Macaca fascicularis: one gene and its partners. The protein of the gene in region 2 purifies or fractionates together with the protein of the main gene of each other region. This does not show direct contact. Links are inferred from orthologs where the notes say so. Each region holds a gene or a part of one and is shown on either strand. Other genes may lie near its edges. The genes, in order: PDS5B, SMC1A, NIPBL and PDS5A.

Region 1 (4,587 bases), on a different chromosome or scaffold from region 2:
GCCTGTAGTCCCAGCTACTTGGGAGGCTGAGGCAGGGGAATCGCTGGAACCCGGGAGGGGGAAGTTGCAGTGAGCTGAGATCGCGCCACTGCACTCCAGCTTGGCGACAGATCGAGACTCCGTCTCAAAAAAAAAAAGAAAAAAAAAAAAAGAAAAAAAAAATTCTTGCTCTCATCCTGCCGTTCTTCTGAAACTTTCTTGCTTCCTGGCTTTGGAGGTTTGGGAATTGAAGAAAATAAAGTAAAAAAGATAAAAACAACCAAAGAGGAAAGGTTTTTCTAGATCTAGACATCCTACTCTCTTCTTCCATACAAGATTTATGCTGATGGAACAACAATGTAAAATAAGAAAATTCCTGAGATAATTTTAAAAAGAGAGCAGAAAAAACTCATAGTGGACTTCATCAAGGAATGTGTAAAATGGGTAGAACCTGGAGTATTCAGTGGCAAAATCTTGGACATAGGAATACAGTAACACAACATACTGGTCTAGCAAGCACTGTAGGAGACTGAAGCGGAATTGTCCAGGAAATCCCACAAAAATGGAAATGAAGAGGTCTCAGTATCTCTAGGTGCAGAAAGGAGATAGCCTTCAAAACAGCTACATGGTAAGGGTGAATGAGGCAATTACCATTAGGACAGACAGAGGAAAATGCACCTAGTATCTCTAGGTGCACAGTAACATTAGTTTACAGATCAGCATTACCTATCTTTTCTTTCAGTTGATAAGTATCCTATTGTAATCCATTCATTCACCCTTTGCTTGTTCATTGTTGAAACAAATTCTCCCTGGAACAAAATTCTAGTAACCAAATACATCATATCGGGGGAAACTTCCTTACAGAAGGGATGATATTAAAGTAAAAAGAGGAGGAAGTCCCTTCTTCAGTTCTGGCAGGGGAGGAAAAGCTTCCCCAAAGGTAGGTGATCTGTTGTGACCAGGCTAAACCCACTTGAGGGACTGGCATCCCCTAAAGGTGAAGAGGGGAGGAGACCCACCTCCTGGAATGTGTCCCTGTGGTCTCCAGATGATGTCTTCCTCTAATAAGGACAATTCTGCCAAAGGAATAGAATGCTTCGTCACAGGCTCAATTACTCTGTGTCTCCGCCAGCTTACCACCTATGAACAATTCATCAAATTAGGAAAGCGGGGAGATTTAATAAAGACACAACACATAAAGTGTAGGAAAACTATTTGTATGGCATTCCGAGACGACTAGGTCAGAATTAACAAGGAGCAAAGTAGTTAATAATACCAATTATGTTAACCTAGCACAACACCTGTGCTGAATGTCAGTGTTTAAAAAAATCTCCCAATCTTTATCTAAAAAGATAGGGCTACGTAACAATCGGAATGATTTTTGTCGGTGGAGGTCTAGTAAGCTGCAAGGGTAGTGGACGCCTTGACAGCTGCCAGTCTCGCGGCCTCCGCGGCGGCGTGCCCGTGTGGCTGCGTGCGCGCGGACGGGGCGGGGCTGAGGAGGGGAGTGCGCGCGCGCGGACGGGGCGGGGCGGAGCTCGGAGGGCGGGCGCGCGCGGGGCCGTCTGGTCGGCAGGGGGCGCTGCGCACCCATGCCGCGCTCTGCCTGCCCCCGGGTGCTGTCCGCGGCGGTTCGATTGGAGCAGCCGCCGAAGAGCGCTTGGCGCCATTTTGAAGCGGAGAGGAGGAGGAACGGCCGGGCTGGCTGCGGAAGGGGAGGGGGGAGAGAAGGCGATTGGATGCGGCGGCGGCGGCGGATCCCGGAGAGCCGCGGAGTGAGAGGAGTAGCGAGTCGGAAACCCGGAGGTAGGAAACAATTCAGTTAACGGAAAGAAAATGTCTCTCTTCTCTGGCCGCGGCGCTCCATTTTTCGGTGGCCGCCACTGCAGCTGTGTGTGTGTGTGTGTGTGTGTGTGTGGCAGGGCTGAAGCGCCGCCCGCCCGGGTGCCAGGCGCGACTCGCCTCCCGGCATCGGGGGCTGCAGCGGGCGGCTGCCTGGCGGCGGCCCGGGGCGGGGGTCGCGGGGCGCGGGCCGGCTGCGCGGTGGGGGTGGGGAGGGCCCGGCGGCCGACTCGCGCCTCCACGCCGCGGGCTCTGCCGCAGCCTCTGGAAATTAAACTTGCCGCTCTGATCCCGGCCCGGGCGGCGGCGGCGGCGGGCGGTGACCTTGCGCGCGGGCTGGGGTCCCGGGGCCGCCCGGCCGCCCGCGCCCTCCCGCCGCCACCGCCGCCGCCGCGCCCCTCCCCCCGCGCCCCGGCCGGCCGGCGGCTGTTTCCCGGGCGGCAGGCGGGCGGCGCGGTGCTCCTGTTGAATCCTCCCGCGGGCGGGCTTCTCCCCCTTCCGGGCGAGGGGCGGGCGGGGACCGCGGGTCGGGGCCGCGGGCGCCCTCGCCCTCGCCCTCGTCGCCGGCTCCCCGCGCGCCGCCTGGCCTGCGCTTCGGGCCAGGGGACGGGCTGAGCATGACATTTTTGCGCTGTTCCTCGCTGCTTGCCCGAGGGAAATCGCGCTCACCGCGCCGCCCGGAGTGGGTGCTCGGGGAACCTGAGGACCCCGTTGAGCAAGAGCCCAGCGCTGGCGTGGAGGGACTCCTCCCAGGCGACAACTGGGTTCTAGCTTTCCTTTCGGAAGGAACGGCGGGGAAAATGGTGTGCAATTGTGACTCGTTAATGTTTTTGCACTGTTATTTTAATGCTACTTTAAAAGTTTTCGGTCCGGAGAAAAACCTTGTTTGTTGTTGTTGCTGCTACTGCTGTTGGTTTTTGGTAGAGACGTGAAAGCTAACTCTGAAGTAGCTCGACAGTTATTTTGGAGGAATGACTGAAACCAGAAACGCCGCCCCTCGCCTTCGGAACTGCAGGCTGCTGCGTTCCTTGCCGCGGACGGGGCGAGCTCCGGGAAGGGTTGAAAGAGCAGCTACCCACCCATTCCGCGCGCGTCTTCAACAGCCTCTCTACCCCAGCAAGGGTTAACCCTTTTTTATGTCGAAGAAAGTGCTTCTTGTACTTTTAATAAGAGGTGATGGATGGGCAGTGGTGCCCCGACTGATCCTACCCTGTCGATGAAATAGTTTCAGAAACTTTGGATATAGCTTTAATTTAGAGGGTTGGTCTGCGGTGTGGAGAGAGTTGGGTAATCCTATACCATCTTCCTAATAAACTTCAAAAACTCACGTTGTGTTTACATGCAGGAGGCGAGCTGTAAATAAATCGTCATTACCCAATACTTGAACGGCAATATAGTCGTTGTTCTCAGTTAACCCATCCAGAGTTCCCAGACAGAACGTTTTTTATATTAACTCATGTAGTGGTCAGGTAAACTAGTTAAAAGCCACAAATATGGACTTGAAAGACAGCTCGTTATGCAGTACACATGTCTGAGATGTTCGCATCTTTAGGGACAATGAAATGAGTATTCAATGGTGTATGTGGGTCAGTTCGTGGAACAGTTAATCTTGTATCTCATGGTGATAGCAGAAAACCGAATTAAAATTTGTAGTGGTGAATAGGTGAAAGTTACATGGGACCTTTTATGTTAAGATCGATTGATTGTCAGAAACTAAAAACATTTTAAGAACGTTATTCCTTAGAAATAAGATTTGTGCTTAATATACGTTTACAAGTATATGTAAAAAGATGCACTTTAGACTTTATAAAAATTATCCAAATAGTGACTTTTTCCTCCTTTTTCTGATGGTTTAAAAAATTGTCCTCTTCTCAGCTGGCGTTTACTTAAAGGTGTATTTTAAATGGGAAGGTAGTGTTTGTGTTCACCCTTTTTCTTTTTTTCTTTTCTCCTTGTTTTGGTTAAGGCTGATTTTCCCTATATTACCTTTTACAGCAGCTTTTGTTACTCTTGTCGCCTTTATTCTCTCGTGTTATGTCTCTCCCCTCTCATTTTTACCCCCGTATTAGAGACACATGTACTGATGATAGTGATTCTTGTCGTGAGATGTTTGTATTAAGCTTACTTGTAGTAAGATTCTACCGAGTTGGCTGTTTGATGAAAGTTGTTTAAATTGTTCTGCAGCTTTGTTTAACAAAGTAACATTTTGAGGAGTAGGCTTTATCAATAATTTGTTAGGCCTAAGATAAAGTAATACTTTGTGTTAGGGCTTGCCCTGGAGAAGAATGCAATGGTAGAAAATACCCAAAACTTTGTGAGAAAGGAATATTTCGGGAAGTTGTATTCTTTCTGCTTATTCCTCTTGGGAAATTTAGAGACTGCCTTAGAACTAACAGGAGTGCGCTCAGTAAGATTTGGCTTATGGACTCTTGAATGACATGGACTGTATATAACTTATATTGGAAAAGTTATTTATGTTTCCTCCGTTAGTGTTAGAGAGCAACAAGAAAACTTAAGGATGATCTCCAACTCGCTTATACATGAGAAATTCGGTTCAGATTTTAATTTCATTGATTTATCTGAGGTCACAGTCGTATTCATGTGGTGGAATTGGGGCAGCTCTTAGATATCCTGGAAGCTGAGAAGTTTCCCCATTGTCTTTTTTTTGTTCTATTCAGGATTTAGCAATATTTATTAATAAAAATTCAGGGTAGCACATTACCTTCCATCCCCTTCTCACCTTTTTATTCATTTAACCAAGAATAA
Region 2 (3,806 bases):
CCCGGCCTGTCTTCTCCGAGTCCACAATAATGGCATCCATGTTCTTGCCCAAAACCTTGGTTACAGCAATCTGATACTTCTTTTGTGTGGGCTGGCACAGGTCAATGAGGCGGCCATACTGAGTAAAGTAGGAAGGGAAAACTGAAGTATGAAGCTTTTGGGAGCTGGCTCAGGAATCCTAATTCCCAGTGTGGAAAGGGGGACAGACTAGAATCTATATCAGGAAGTGAACGCAACTGTATTGCCTAGTGGTTAAGATAACCCAATACCAAGCATGGTGGTGTGTGCTTGTAATCCTAGCTACTTGGGAGGTTGCAGTGGGAGGATCGCTTAAGTCCAGGAGTTCAAGACCAGCCTGGGTAACATAATAAGACCCTGTCTCAAAACAAACAAAAAAGACAGCCCACTAGTTCTGTACCCAAGTAACCCTACCTTAACTGAATGGAACTGTATGGACTGAGGAGGAGGCAATTGTAGACTGGCTTGCTGTGTGCACTCTAGATCAGCACAGTGGCCAATCCTAATGTCCCTTCCAAAGGTGGAAAAGTTTGGGCAACAGAAGGGAGGTAAAGAATAAATGAGTTATGTAATGAGGGAAACTCAGTATTATATTAACACCTCAAAACAGGTTCAGAGCATGAGATATTGTCTCTTAGCACAATTATCCCAGATGCCTGAAAGTGTGAAGCTATGTTTGCTGAGAACACTCCTCATTTTGGAACCTAACAAGATTGAATAAAAGCCTGCAAACCTGAATGGTCTCACCCTAGGAAACATTTTCATGACATGATCATGGACTAAACTAATTATTAATTAATGACTAAATGGGATTCTAGTAATGTACCAGTTATTTTTCTACTTTTTTTGGGAGACGAAGTCTCACTCTGCAGCCCACGCTGGAGTGCAGGGGCGTAATACCGGCTCACTGCAACCTCCACCTCCCAGGTTCAAGTGATTCTCCTGCCTTAGCCTCCTGAGTAGCTGGGATTACAGGTGCCCACCATCATGCCCAGCTAATTTTTGTACTTTCAGTAGATGGGGTTTCACCATGTTGGCCAGGCTGGTCCCGAACTCCTGACCTCCAGTGATCCGCTGGCCCCCAGCCTCTTTCTATTACATGATTGTTCTGATGTAACGGATCTGCGTTTGAAGATCAAAGTGGACTGTGGTGTTTTATGAAATATATATTTAGTCTTCTACGCGGGAGTTCCCGACACACAACCCCTAAAACCCTTAGAATCTCAGGAATGAGCATTTTGTATGTTAATGAGATGATTATGGCTAGAGGCCCATAGATAGCTTCTGGATAGGGGCTGGTTACCAGAAAGACCAAGGCAGGATGAGATTTGCGACTCTTAGCTCCACCCCCACAACCTTCAGAAGGGGAGAGGGGCTGAAGTTTGAACTGATCACCGATGGCTGATGATTTGATCAATCAGGCCTACATAATGAAGCCCCTGTGTGGGGGTACCTGGAGGGTGGCTTGCCCAGATTGGGCATGGAAGCTTCACACCTCTTCCCCCATACCCTGCCTTATGCATCCATCTGGCTGTTCTCTGCATCCTTTGTAATATCCTTCATAATAAATGGGTAAACATAAGTAAAACATTTTCCTGAGTTCTGTGAGCTGCACTAGTAAATTAATCGAACCCAGGGAGGGATTCTCAGGAACTGTAATTTACAGCAGGTCAGTCAGAACCACAAGTCACAACCTGAGACTTGCAATTGGCATCTGAAGTCTTAGACTGAGCCCCTAACCCATGGGATCTGATGCTATCTCCAGATAAATAGTGTCAGAGTTGAAGTGAATTATAGGTCACCCAGCTGGTGTCTGCTGGAGAATTGCTTGGTGTGTGAGGAAAAACCCCAAAACTTCTGGTGTCAGAAGTGAAGTGTTGTGCTGGTTGTGTGAGAGTAGAAAAAACACTTCGGTTTTTCCCTATCTCACAGAAGAACACAGCCCCCATCCTATAAAGAAAAAGACTATTATGGCTCCCAAGCAATGACTTCAAGCAGTCGTGTCTGAATCCAGGATCATCTTTCTAAACCTCATTTACCATTTTACAGACCACCGCCACCCAGGCACTATGCCAAATATCTTACATATATTATTTCAAATTTTCACAAGTACTTAGTGAAATAAATCTGGCTGGGCGTGGTGGCTCACGCCTGTAATCCTACCACTTTGGGAGGCTGAGGCGGGCAGATCACTTGAGATCAGGAGTTTAAAACCAGCCTGGCCAACATGGTGAAACCCTGTCTCTACTAAAAATACAAAAAAATTAGCTGGGCATGGTGGTGGGCACCTGTAATCCCAGCTACTTGGGAGGCTAAGGCAGGAGAATCGCTTGAGCCTAGGAGGCAGAGATTGCAGTGAGCCGAGGTTGTGCCACTGCACTCTAGCCTGGGCGAAAGAGCAAGACTCTATCTCAAAATCAATCAATCAATCAATCAATCAATCAATCCATCTCTTTTACCAGTTCCCTTCCCGCAGTCTCCAAAACCAAGCCTGGTTCCCTAAGAACTATCAGATTAAGAGAGCAGGGACTGACTCTAATCATACCTACCTCCCCAGCAGAGCCTCTAGAGAAGTGACAGGGAAATATTAGTGGAACCAAACTAAGTTGAACCCAGGTATGGGATAATATTCAAGGAACCTGGGAACTCAGGATTGGGTGAAAGAGGTCAAAAGATCAAGAGGTCTGATAAAGCTCAGGGTGTCCCTAAAAGCTACTGGGCCAGTTAATACATGCCAAGAGAGCCCATATAGAAGACTGCACAGAGCTATTTCCTGGGAGAGTAATTCCAGCCCCATGGTCCCACCTGCCTCCAAAATCTTTCCTGGTTTTCCAATTCCCCTCCCAGAGGCATGGACACAGCAAGACAAACCCTTCAGAAAAACGTAATTGTTATGATGAAAAGAACATGATTGCCTAGTATGACAGGTTGAAAAATTTAAAAAAAAAAAAAAAAAAAAAAAGGAACATGAGCTTAGGAGAACAAGTTGGGTTTGAACTGCAGTTCTTCCACTTAGAAGCGGTGCTTTTTTAAACCTCTCCGAGCCTCATTTCCCCTGACAATAAAAATAGGATTGGCAACCTGGTCCTCAAAGGGCTGCTGGGAAAATCGTGTGACAGTGAGTGTAAGTACTCAGGAAATGAGTTCCCCCTCTGCTCTTACCACAGAGCCAGGGTAAAGGCGCTTGATGCTTTCCATTATCTCTGCCTTTCGCTGCTGGCGGCTGCTCTCCTGACGGTCAATGCGGGCATCCCCTAGCTGCTCCATCACCTGATTCAGCTCCTTATTGATTTCATCAATACGCCGCTTGGCCATCTCCACCTCCTCTGTCAGCTCCCCCTCTAGCTTCTTCTGCTCTTCTAGGGACTGCCTACAAAGTGACGGCACACAGGAGTTACTCCTGCTGGTGAGAAAAATACTCCTGGCTCAGAGAGGCTCTGGGGGTCCTGCATGAAGATGGGCAGGTAGGTAGGGTCACAAGAACAGGCCTGGAAGTAAGGGGGACAGTTGCAGAGCTACATACTTGCTAGTGGTGATGTATTCCTCCAGTTTCTCAATCCGCTTCTGATTCTCTTCAATTTCCCGCAGCTTTTGCTTGATCTTGGCCTGGGAAACAAACGTATTCTATCACCAAGGGCTGCACAAGTTTACGCCAAGACCACGGGAGCCCTAGATAACACCCCTTATGTGCCCACTCATCCAAGAGCCCAACAGTCCAGGATAATCTGTCACTAATATAGGAGGCCTACTAAAAAGCAGACATAGATGGTGTTCGGTTGGATCTACTA
Region 3 (3,806 bases), on a different chromosome or scaffold from region 2:
ACAACTGAATGCAAACAAAACGAGAGCACCGTAGTTGAGCCTAAACAAAATGAAAATAGACTGTCTGACACAAAACCAAATGACAACAAACAAAATAATGGCAGATCAGAAACAACAAAATCAAGGCCTGAAACCCCAAAGCAAAAGGGTGAAAGCCGGCCTGAGACTCCAAAACAAAAGAGTGAAGGGCGTCCTGAAACCCCAAAACAGAAGGGTGATGGAAGGCCTGAAACTCCAAAGCAAAAAGGTGAAAGCCGCCCTGAAACTCCAAAGCAAAAAAATGAAGGGCGACCTGAAACACCAAAACACAGGCATGACAATAGGAGGGATTCTGGAAAGCCATCTACGGAGAAAAAACCTGAAGTGTCTAAACATAAACAAGATACTAAATCTGACTCACCTCGGTTAAAATCAGAACGAGCTGAAGCCTTAAAGCAGAGACCTGATGGGCGATCTATTTCTGAGTCACTAAGACGTGACCATGATAATAAACAAAAATCAGATGACAGGGGTGAATCAGAGCGACATCGAGGAGATCAGTCTAGGGTTCGAAGACCAGAAACATTGAGATCCTCTAGTAGAAATGAACATGGCATTAAATCTGATAGTTCAAAAACTGATAAACTAGAACGAAAACACAGGCATGAATCAGGGGACCCAAGGGAAAGACCATCTTCTGGGGAACAAAAATCAAGACCTGACAGTCCTCGTGTTAAACAAGGAGATTCTAATAAATCAAGATCTGATAAACCTGGTTTTAAATCACCAAATAGTAAAGATGACAAAAGGACAGAGGGTAACAAGAGTAAAGTAGACACTAATAAAGCACACCCTGACAATAAGGCAGAATTTCCAAGTTATTTGTTGGGGGGCAGGTCTGGTGCATTGAAAAATTTTGTCATTCCGAAAATCAAGAGGGATAAAGATGGCAATGTTACTCAGGAAACAAAGAAAATGGAAATGAAAGGAGAGCAGAAAGACAAAGTAGAAAAAATAGGATTAGTTGAAGATCTAAATAAAGGAGCTAAGCCTGTAGTTGTTCTACAAAAACTGTCTTTGGATGATGTTCAGAAACTTATTAAAGATAGAGAGGACAAATCAAGAAGTTCCCTTAAACCTATCAAGAATAAACCATCAAAGTCAAATAAAGGTAAGAATACTGATGTCATTTATAATATAATCGATTTTAAGTGCTAAGGTTACTAAGTATTAAAAAGGAAATTTACAAAAATTAGAAAGCTACTACGTGAAAATATAACATCTATGTCAAACAACAGTAAATTTTTTTCAGAAGTATAGATAAAGGTTTCCAATGAATTTTTTTTCCCCACAGTTTTTTTCTTCCCACCCACTACTCAAGGTAGTTATGAATCTTACTGCTATTTGGTTACACAGAGATAAGTTATTTGGCTGTTTAATTATTTCTTATATTCGTTATTTCTTATGTTAATCAAGTGAATGTTGTATTAAAATAGCTGTCTTTAAAAACTCTCTATAGTCTTACAATACTATATTCTTACAGACCTGTGTTTGAGCTAATTATCGATGAATAGTTTGTATAGTTTAGAAAGTTATATAAAAGGTTATTTTTCATTTTGTTGGGGAGATGGTTAGTTAAATATGTTTTATATTTTTAAAACATATCTTTTTGTCCTTGTTTATGCAAAGGTAATAGGGAACGGTACTTACTTTTTAAATTTGGTTAAATTGTAAGTTTGTGGGAGGCAGGGGGACTGGTGTTATTTTTGCATGGTTTCTGAGTTAAATTCTCTGGTTACTTGAGTAAGATTATTTCCAAAGGGATAAGAATGTCTTAAGTGCCAAAAAATAATGACCATTTGTGCAGAAGATATACTTTTGTATCCGTTTGTACACAAGTATTTAAAATAACTTTTTTTATTTTTAAATAGAGATGAGGTCTTCTTGCTTTGTTGACCAGGCTGCTTTCGAACTCCTGGCCTCAAGCGATCCTTTTGTCTCAGCCTCCCAAAGTGCTGGGATTACAGGCGTGAGCCACCATGTCCATGCAGTCTAAATATATTGAGGTGTAGTGAAGGCGATAGAACTGAGAGTTTATTTGATTTTGAGTTTTCCTTCTGTGAAAGAGAATTATTAAGAATTTAGATTTAAACTTATATGTAACCAAGTATATGAAATCTGGAATTGCATTGGCTGAGATGGTAGCCATTACCTTTTTTGGCTATTTAAATTTAAATTAACTAAAATTGAAAGTTCATTTCATCAGTTGTCATACGTGGCTATTGGCTACCGTATTGGACAAAACAGAACATTTGCATCATCACAGAAAGTTGTATTGCATAGCACTGCAGTGCATTAGCAGATATGAAAAGTGTGTGGTTATTGTTTTCATAACATGCTGTTGTAACTTGTCTACCAAGAAAACTCTTTGAAAACATATTATAAAGAACTCTATTCAAAGAATGACTTGTGGCTCATCTGTTGTTATTCTTGCTTGGTCTTCGTCAGCATTCATTTCTTCACTGTTAATTTATTTGATTTTGCCTTACAAAAATGAAAAAATATTGCCTTCTGAGTTACTAATATTTGTGTTCTTTGAGTGAAGCTTTTAATTTTTAGATTATAGCAATTAGACCAAAAATCAATTAAGACATCAGCCTCAATAAGTAGCCTTTTTAATTTAACTGGAATGTGTCTTTTCAGAGTTACTTGTTAATATGAAAGAGGTTGTAGAATGCGGGAGTTAACACTAGATTTGTTTTCTTTTAGGTAAAGATTTTCTTTAAAATTTTTTAGCGAAAGTTTGGGAGTAGCTTATATTTATAAACTAAAGAGTATGGCTATACAATTTTAGAAGAGTCAGGTGAAAGATGGAAAGTGGTACCCTCTTGTTCCTTTGATCTGGACCATCTTTCTCTCCCTCCCCTCTCAGCTTACCCTAGCCTTGCTTTCTAAACTCTGTTCTAACAAAGAGTCTTTTACAACTCCTTAAAGAACATCCAGAAGTGAATATAGCTTTTAGTTAGTAATTGCTGTATTATTTCACCTGGTTTTTTCACATGCAGTAATATGGCCTATGAATAAGTTTTTAGCACCAAAATGCATTTCTGATAGTATACTTTTAATGCAGATGTATATACCTGATATGGTCATGTTAGTATGTAAGTAAGCTATCTGGGTGTCTGAGTGATGTGTATGTATGTGTACATGTGCATGTTTATGTATATATACACATATATTAATGTAACTGCAATTACAATAACAGTCCTTTTCATCAAAAAATACTGTGTCAGTGCTTAAATTCATTTCAGGATGCCATGTAGCTATCTTTTGGATTAATTTATTTATGTCTTAGGATCCGTATCTTTTTTTTTTTTTTTTAGTAATGTTCTAATTTTGGTTTTATTTTAGATTTTTGCTACTCAGTTTAAATAGCAGAGTTGGTTAATTGTGGATTTTTTTAATTGCATGTACATGAAGCACAGTTGTAGATTACTTACCCTTTGTAGTACATATTGGGGTTTTCTTTGGAGATTCACAGAAAATCACATTTTGATGTGTTGATGATTTTCTGAGTAAAGGAATTAGTCTGAATATTGCTGGGATACTTTTATGGTTGGTTCCTAGGGCCAAAATTGAAAAGCCATAAATTTCCATCTTTTAAATATTTTACCAGTTGTTCATATAGAAAATATTCTTTAGGATACATTTTAAGCTGATAAATTTTGAGTGTGTGATAGAGGTACAGATTTATTACTCCTATTTTAGATTACTTATTTTTGTCTTTTGTATGAGCATGTTAAATGTAAAGTGGCATTGTTACATTT
Region 4 (3,806 bases), on a different chromosome or scaffold from region 2:
TTTGGGAGGCCGAGGCGGGCGGATCACAAGGTCAGGAGATCGAGACCACGGTGAAACCCCGTCTCTACTAAAAATACAAAAAATTAGCCGGGCGCGGTTGTGGGCGCCTGTAGTCCCAGCTACTCGGGAGGCTGAGGCAGGAGAATGGCGTGAACCCGGGAGGCGGAGCTTGCAGTGAGCCGAGATCGCGCCACTGCACTCCAGCCTGGGCGACAGAGCGAGACTCCGTCTCAAAAAAAAAAAAAAAAAAAAAAAGAAAATTGATAAAGCGAAACAAACATAGAAGGAAAGATATTTGTCATATATTTAATGTTATTAGAGAAGAGCCTGTTTCATAGATTATAAAGTTAGTGGTATCAAATGAATGCAGGGGTGACAATGCCCTCTTATGATAATGGAAGGCTAGATATGAAAAGCTATACTGCAGGCTCCAGGCCATGCACCTTAACCAAAAATGGGAACATATGCTAGTTGGTGTAAGTCTGATGTGACATTTATAAATATGCCTGAAGTTTGTCTCTATGGACTTTGGAATTATGAGATAGGGATGTCCATGCCCAAATAGACTTCCTTGACTGAGTCTTGGCCACACTTCTACACGGAAGATGTCTTTCCTCTCTCCTATCTGTTTAGTCTTTCACCGTTCCATTTACCAGACTATGATCTCTTATAAAATAACACGTGAATGACAAAGGAAGACAGTTTCAATCAAACTGTTGTTAAATGTATTATTAATTATTATTAGCCAAATAAAATAATACAGAAAGTCAACTTTAATCTTTCTTCTTGTTTTTTTATAGAGCAGTATAATCCAGTGATGCCATCAGAGATGTTATTGAGGTCTTTAGTGTTGTGCTCTTCTTCTTTCCAGTGATTATCTCCTTTCTCCTCCATTAATCTTATGAATGAGGTATTTTATTCCTCACGTCCAAAGTTACCTCTTCTACCTATACCCATTTTCAATTGCTTCCTTTGGGGTGGAATTTCTCTAAGAATAGATCCTTTGCCTTAAAAAAATGTATAGGATTTCCTCCCTTGAAAAACTTATCAAAATCTATCCTATTGTGTCAATAATCTTTTTTTAATAATGTATACATATAAAGTTTATTATTTCTAGTCTACAAACTCCTCGAGGGCAGGGACTGATTGTGGTAACTTTTTTTATTAGCCAGACAATGCTGAGAATGAAGAGAATGTACAATGAACACTGAATTTTTCACAAGTTAAACTATAAGTTCACAAATTTAATAAAAACTTCAGGAGACTGCTTGTCCTATGATTACCATAAGAGGAAAATGGTATGTAGTTCAATAGACCTTGAACTACTTGCAAATACATATGATTCAACAGCCATTTGCAATGTATTTTTTCCTCCAGAAGATGTCTTCTGCATATTTTAAGTCTAAATATAACATCTCAGCACAAGTTTCACCTTAACATTTTTAAGATGCCAAAGTGAACTATTTGCCCCATTTTTTGGTAGGATAGCAGTGTGACAGTTATTGAATTTATAACCCATTTACAGAAAAAAAGATGAATATACATGGATTAGAAAGATATTAATCATAAATAAAACACTAAATTATGGGATAACCTTTGATTCTTAATATCTTAAAATGATTTTGTTATAAACAAACATGTAGTTTCAGTTTACTCTGCTGCCTACATTCTAATGGTGGGAGAGGGGTGTAAGGCAAGGGAAAGACAAAACAGAGGACACAGAAAAGTAGCTTTTAAATCAAAATTGTCTTTCCTCTCTCCCAACTTCCTATACAAAAGGAAAACAATGATTTTATGGTTCCCACACTTAGAAACTTTTGTATTTACCATGGGACAAAAAATGTACTCACGATCGTATCTGGGGAAGGTCTGTTTCTATTTTGTGACCTGTATTTCTAAAAATTTGAATAGCAGCTTCTGCCACCTTGTCATCTTCCATTCTTAGGCACTGTAACAAGGACTCATATGTCTCTGCAGAGTGGAACGAGGTAGGATGTGTGAAAGACAGAACCTGAAAAAATAGATACAGCTTTAGAAGTACAGACAATTGTTTTAATCCATTAAAAAAGAAATACTTCCCGTGATAAATAAATAAATAAATAAATACATACATAAATAAATTCTGGGGTAAATATGCTAGCTACACAGAATAGAGATACATCTCCTAGCCACCCTTGCAGTTAGTTATGGCTAATTAGACATTATCAGAAATACTGTGTGGTGTAGTAGCTCCCAGTTATTCCTTCACACAACTGACAGACAGCCTTTGTCCTATTTTCTTCTTCACCTCTTAGTCTACTCTGCTACTTAGAACACAAAACTCCTTTTTTATGGAATGTGATTTACAATATTAATAACTATTATCAGTTTATAAATATATTGTATTTAGATGAAGGAATGCTTACTTGAAATAAAACCTCCATACGTAATGACTCAATCTTTGTGTAATGTAAACAAAATGCTAACTCAGAGCTTTCTTTGACTGGCAAAAAGATAATCTATGAGAATTTTTTTTTCTTTTTTTTTTTTGTGACAGGATTTCACTCTGTCACCTAGGCTAGAGTGCGGTGGAACATCACAGCTCACTGTGGTCTCAGCCTCCTGAGCTGAGATTACAGGTGCACCAGCCCAGCTAAAAAAAATTTTTTTTTTTTTTGAGACGGAGTCTCACTCTATCGCCCAGGCTAGAGTGCAGTGGCCTGATCTCAGCTCACTACAAGCTCCGCCTCCTAGTTTCACGCCATTCTCCTGCCTCAGCCTCCTGAGTAGCTGGGACTACAGGTGCCCGCCACCATGCCCGGCTTATTTTTTGTACTTTTAATAGAGACGGAGTTTCACCGTGTTTGCCAGGATGGTCTCGATCTCCTGACCCCATGATCTGCCCACCTCAGCCTCCCAAAGTGCTGGGATTACAGGCGTGAGCCACCGCGCCCGGCGTTTTTTTTTTTTTTTTTTTTTTTGTAGAGATGAGGTCTAGCTATGTTGCCCAGGCTGGTCTCCAACTCCTGTGCTCAAGAGATCTTCCTGCCTTGGCTGGGATTACAGGCATAAACCACTGTACCAAGGCAAGAAAATATTTCAAGTGAAATCACTCATCATAATTATCAACAAAGAAGCCACTATTGTGAACTTTTAATTATGATTACAATACATAATTATTCCCTTATTATGACATGAGCACGAGCCTGTTCTTAAATAATTTTTAGCAAGTTAGATACATGTCTAAAGAGTTAACTTTCCATACAATTCATAACAATTCAGTTAGTGTAGTATCAAGATTAGGGAGGCAAATAGAGAAGCAGGGAGAAAGGGGAATGAGCAGGTGGTCTTCATTAATTTTTCAATAAGCACTTATTTAATGGTCATTAAGTGCTACTGTCTCATTTGGCAAGGCTTGCAGTGATAATATTTACTTACGTGGTTTTGATTATTTATAGAAAACTGGAGAATTAAATTAGAAAAATGTAATAAAAACCAATCTATTAAAAAATGTTACCTTAAAGGTGGTTTCACTTTTAAGAGAACTTAAAAATACAACTCAATTACTAAAAAAATTAATTAAAATCTTATTCATGAGGCATCATATCAATTCTATCAATGAAATGATTTTTTTTTTTCTTTTGAGACAGAGTCTCACTCTGACGCCAAGCTGGAGTGCAGTGGCACGATCTCGGCTCACTGCAACCTCCATCTCCCGGGTTCAAGCGATTTTCCTGCCTCAGCCTCCGAAGTAGCTGTGACTACAGGCGTGTGCCACCATGTCTAGCTAATTTTTGTACTTTATTAGTAGAGACAGGGTTTCCCCA

The links.
Region 1: the proteins of SMC1A (region 2) and PDS5B purify together in Homo sapiens (affinity purification with western blotting; 8 studies listed by BioGRID and IntAct, with this or other methods). This does not show direct contact. The link is inferred for Macaca fascicularis from reciprocal best matches to the Homo sapiens genes SMC1A and PDS5B.
Region 3: the proteins of SMC1A (region 2) and NIPBL purify together in Homo sapiens (affinity purification with mass spectrometry; 3 studies listed by BioGRID and IntAct, with this or other methods). This does not show direct contact. The link is inferred for Macaca fascicularis from reciprocal best matches to the Homo sapiens genes SMC1A and NIPBL.
Region 4: the proteins of SMC1A (region 2) and PDS5A purify together in Homo sapiens (co-immunoprecipitation; 8 studies listed by BioGRID and IntAct, with this or other methods). This does not show direct contact. The link is inferred for Macaca fascicularis from reciprocal best matches to the Homo sapiens genes SMC1A and PDS5A.

The regions. Positions count from the first base shown.
Region 1 is NC_088391.1:12,291,533-12,296,119, forward strand, and holds the start of PDS5B (sister chromatid cohesion protein PDS5 homolog B), read left to right. Parts: upstream 1-1,641; 5' UTR 1,642-1,785; intron 1,786-2,245; exon of another isoform or gene 2,246-2,624; intron 2,625-4,587. UniProt on the Homo sapiens protein: Regulator of sister chromatid cohesion in mitosis which may stabilize cohesin complex association with chromatin. May couple sister chromatid cohesion during mitosis to DNA replication.
Region 2 is NC_088395.1:53,398,747-53,402,552, forward strand, and holds part of SMC1A (structural maintenance of chromosomes protein 1A), read right to left. Parts: intron 3,625-3,806; coding exon 3,542-3,624; intron 3,389-3,541; coding exon 3,181-3,388; intron 119-3,180; coding exon 1-118. UniProt on the Homo sapiens protein: Involved in chromosome cohesion during cell cycle and in DNA repair. Central component of cohesin complex. The cohesin complex is required for the cohesion of sister chromatids after DNA replication.
Region 3 is NC_088380.1:37,299,651-37,303,456, forward strand, and holds part of NIPBL (nipped-B-like protein), read left to right. Parts: coding exon 1-1,150; intron 1,151-3,806. UniProt on the Homo sapiens protein: Plays an important role in the loading of the cohesin complex on to DNA. Forms a heterodimeric complex (also known as cohesin loading complex) with MAU2/SCC4 which mediates the loading of the cohesin complex onto chromatin.
Region 4 is NC_088379.1:39,173,378-39,177,183, forward strand, and holds part of PDS5A (sister chromatid cohesion protein PDS5 homolog A), read right to left. Parts: intron 2,012-3,806; coding exon 1,851-2,011; intron 1-1,850. UniProt on the Homo sapiens protein: Probable regulator of sister chromatid cohesion in mitosis which may stabilize cohesin complex association with chromatin. May couple sister chromatid cohesion during mitosis to DNA replication.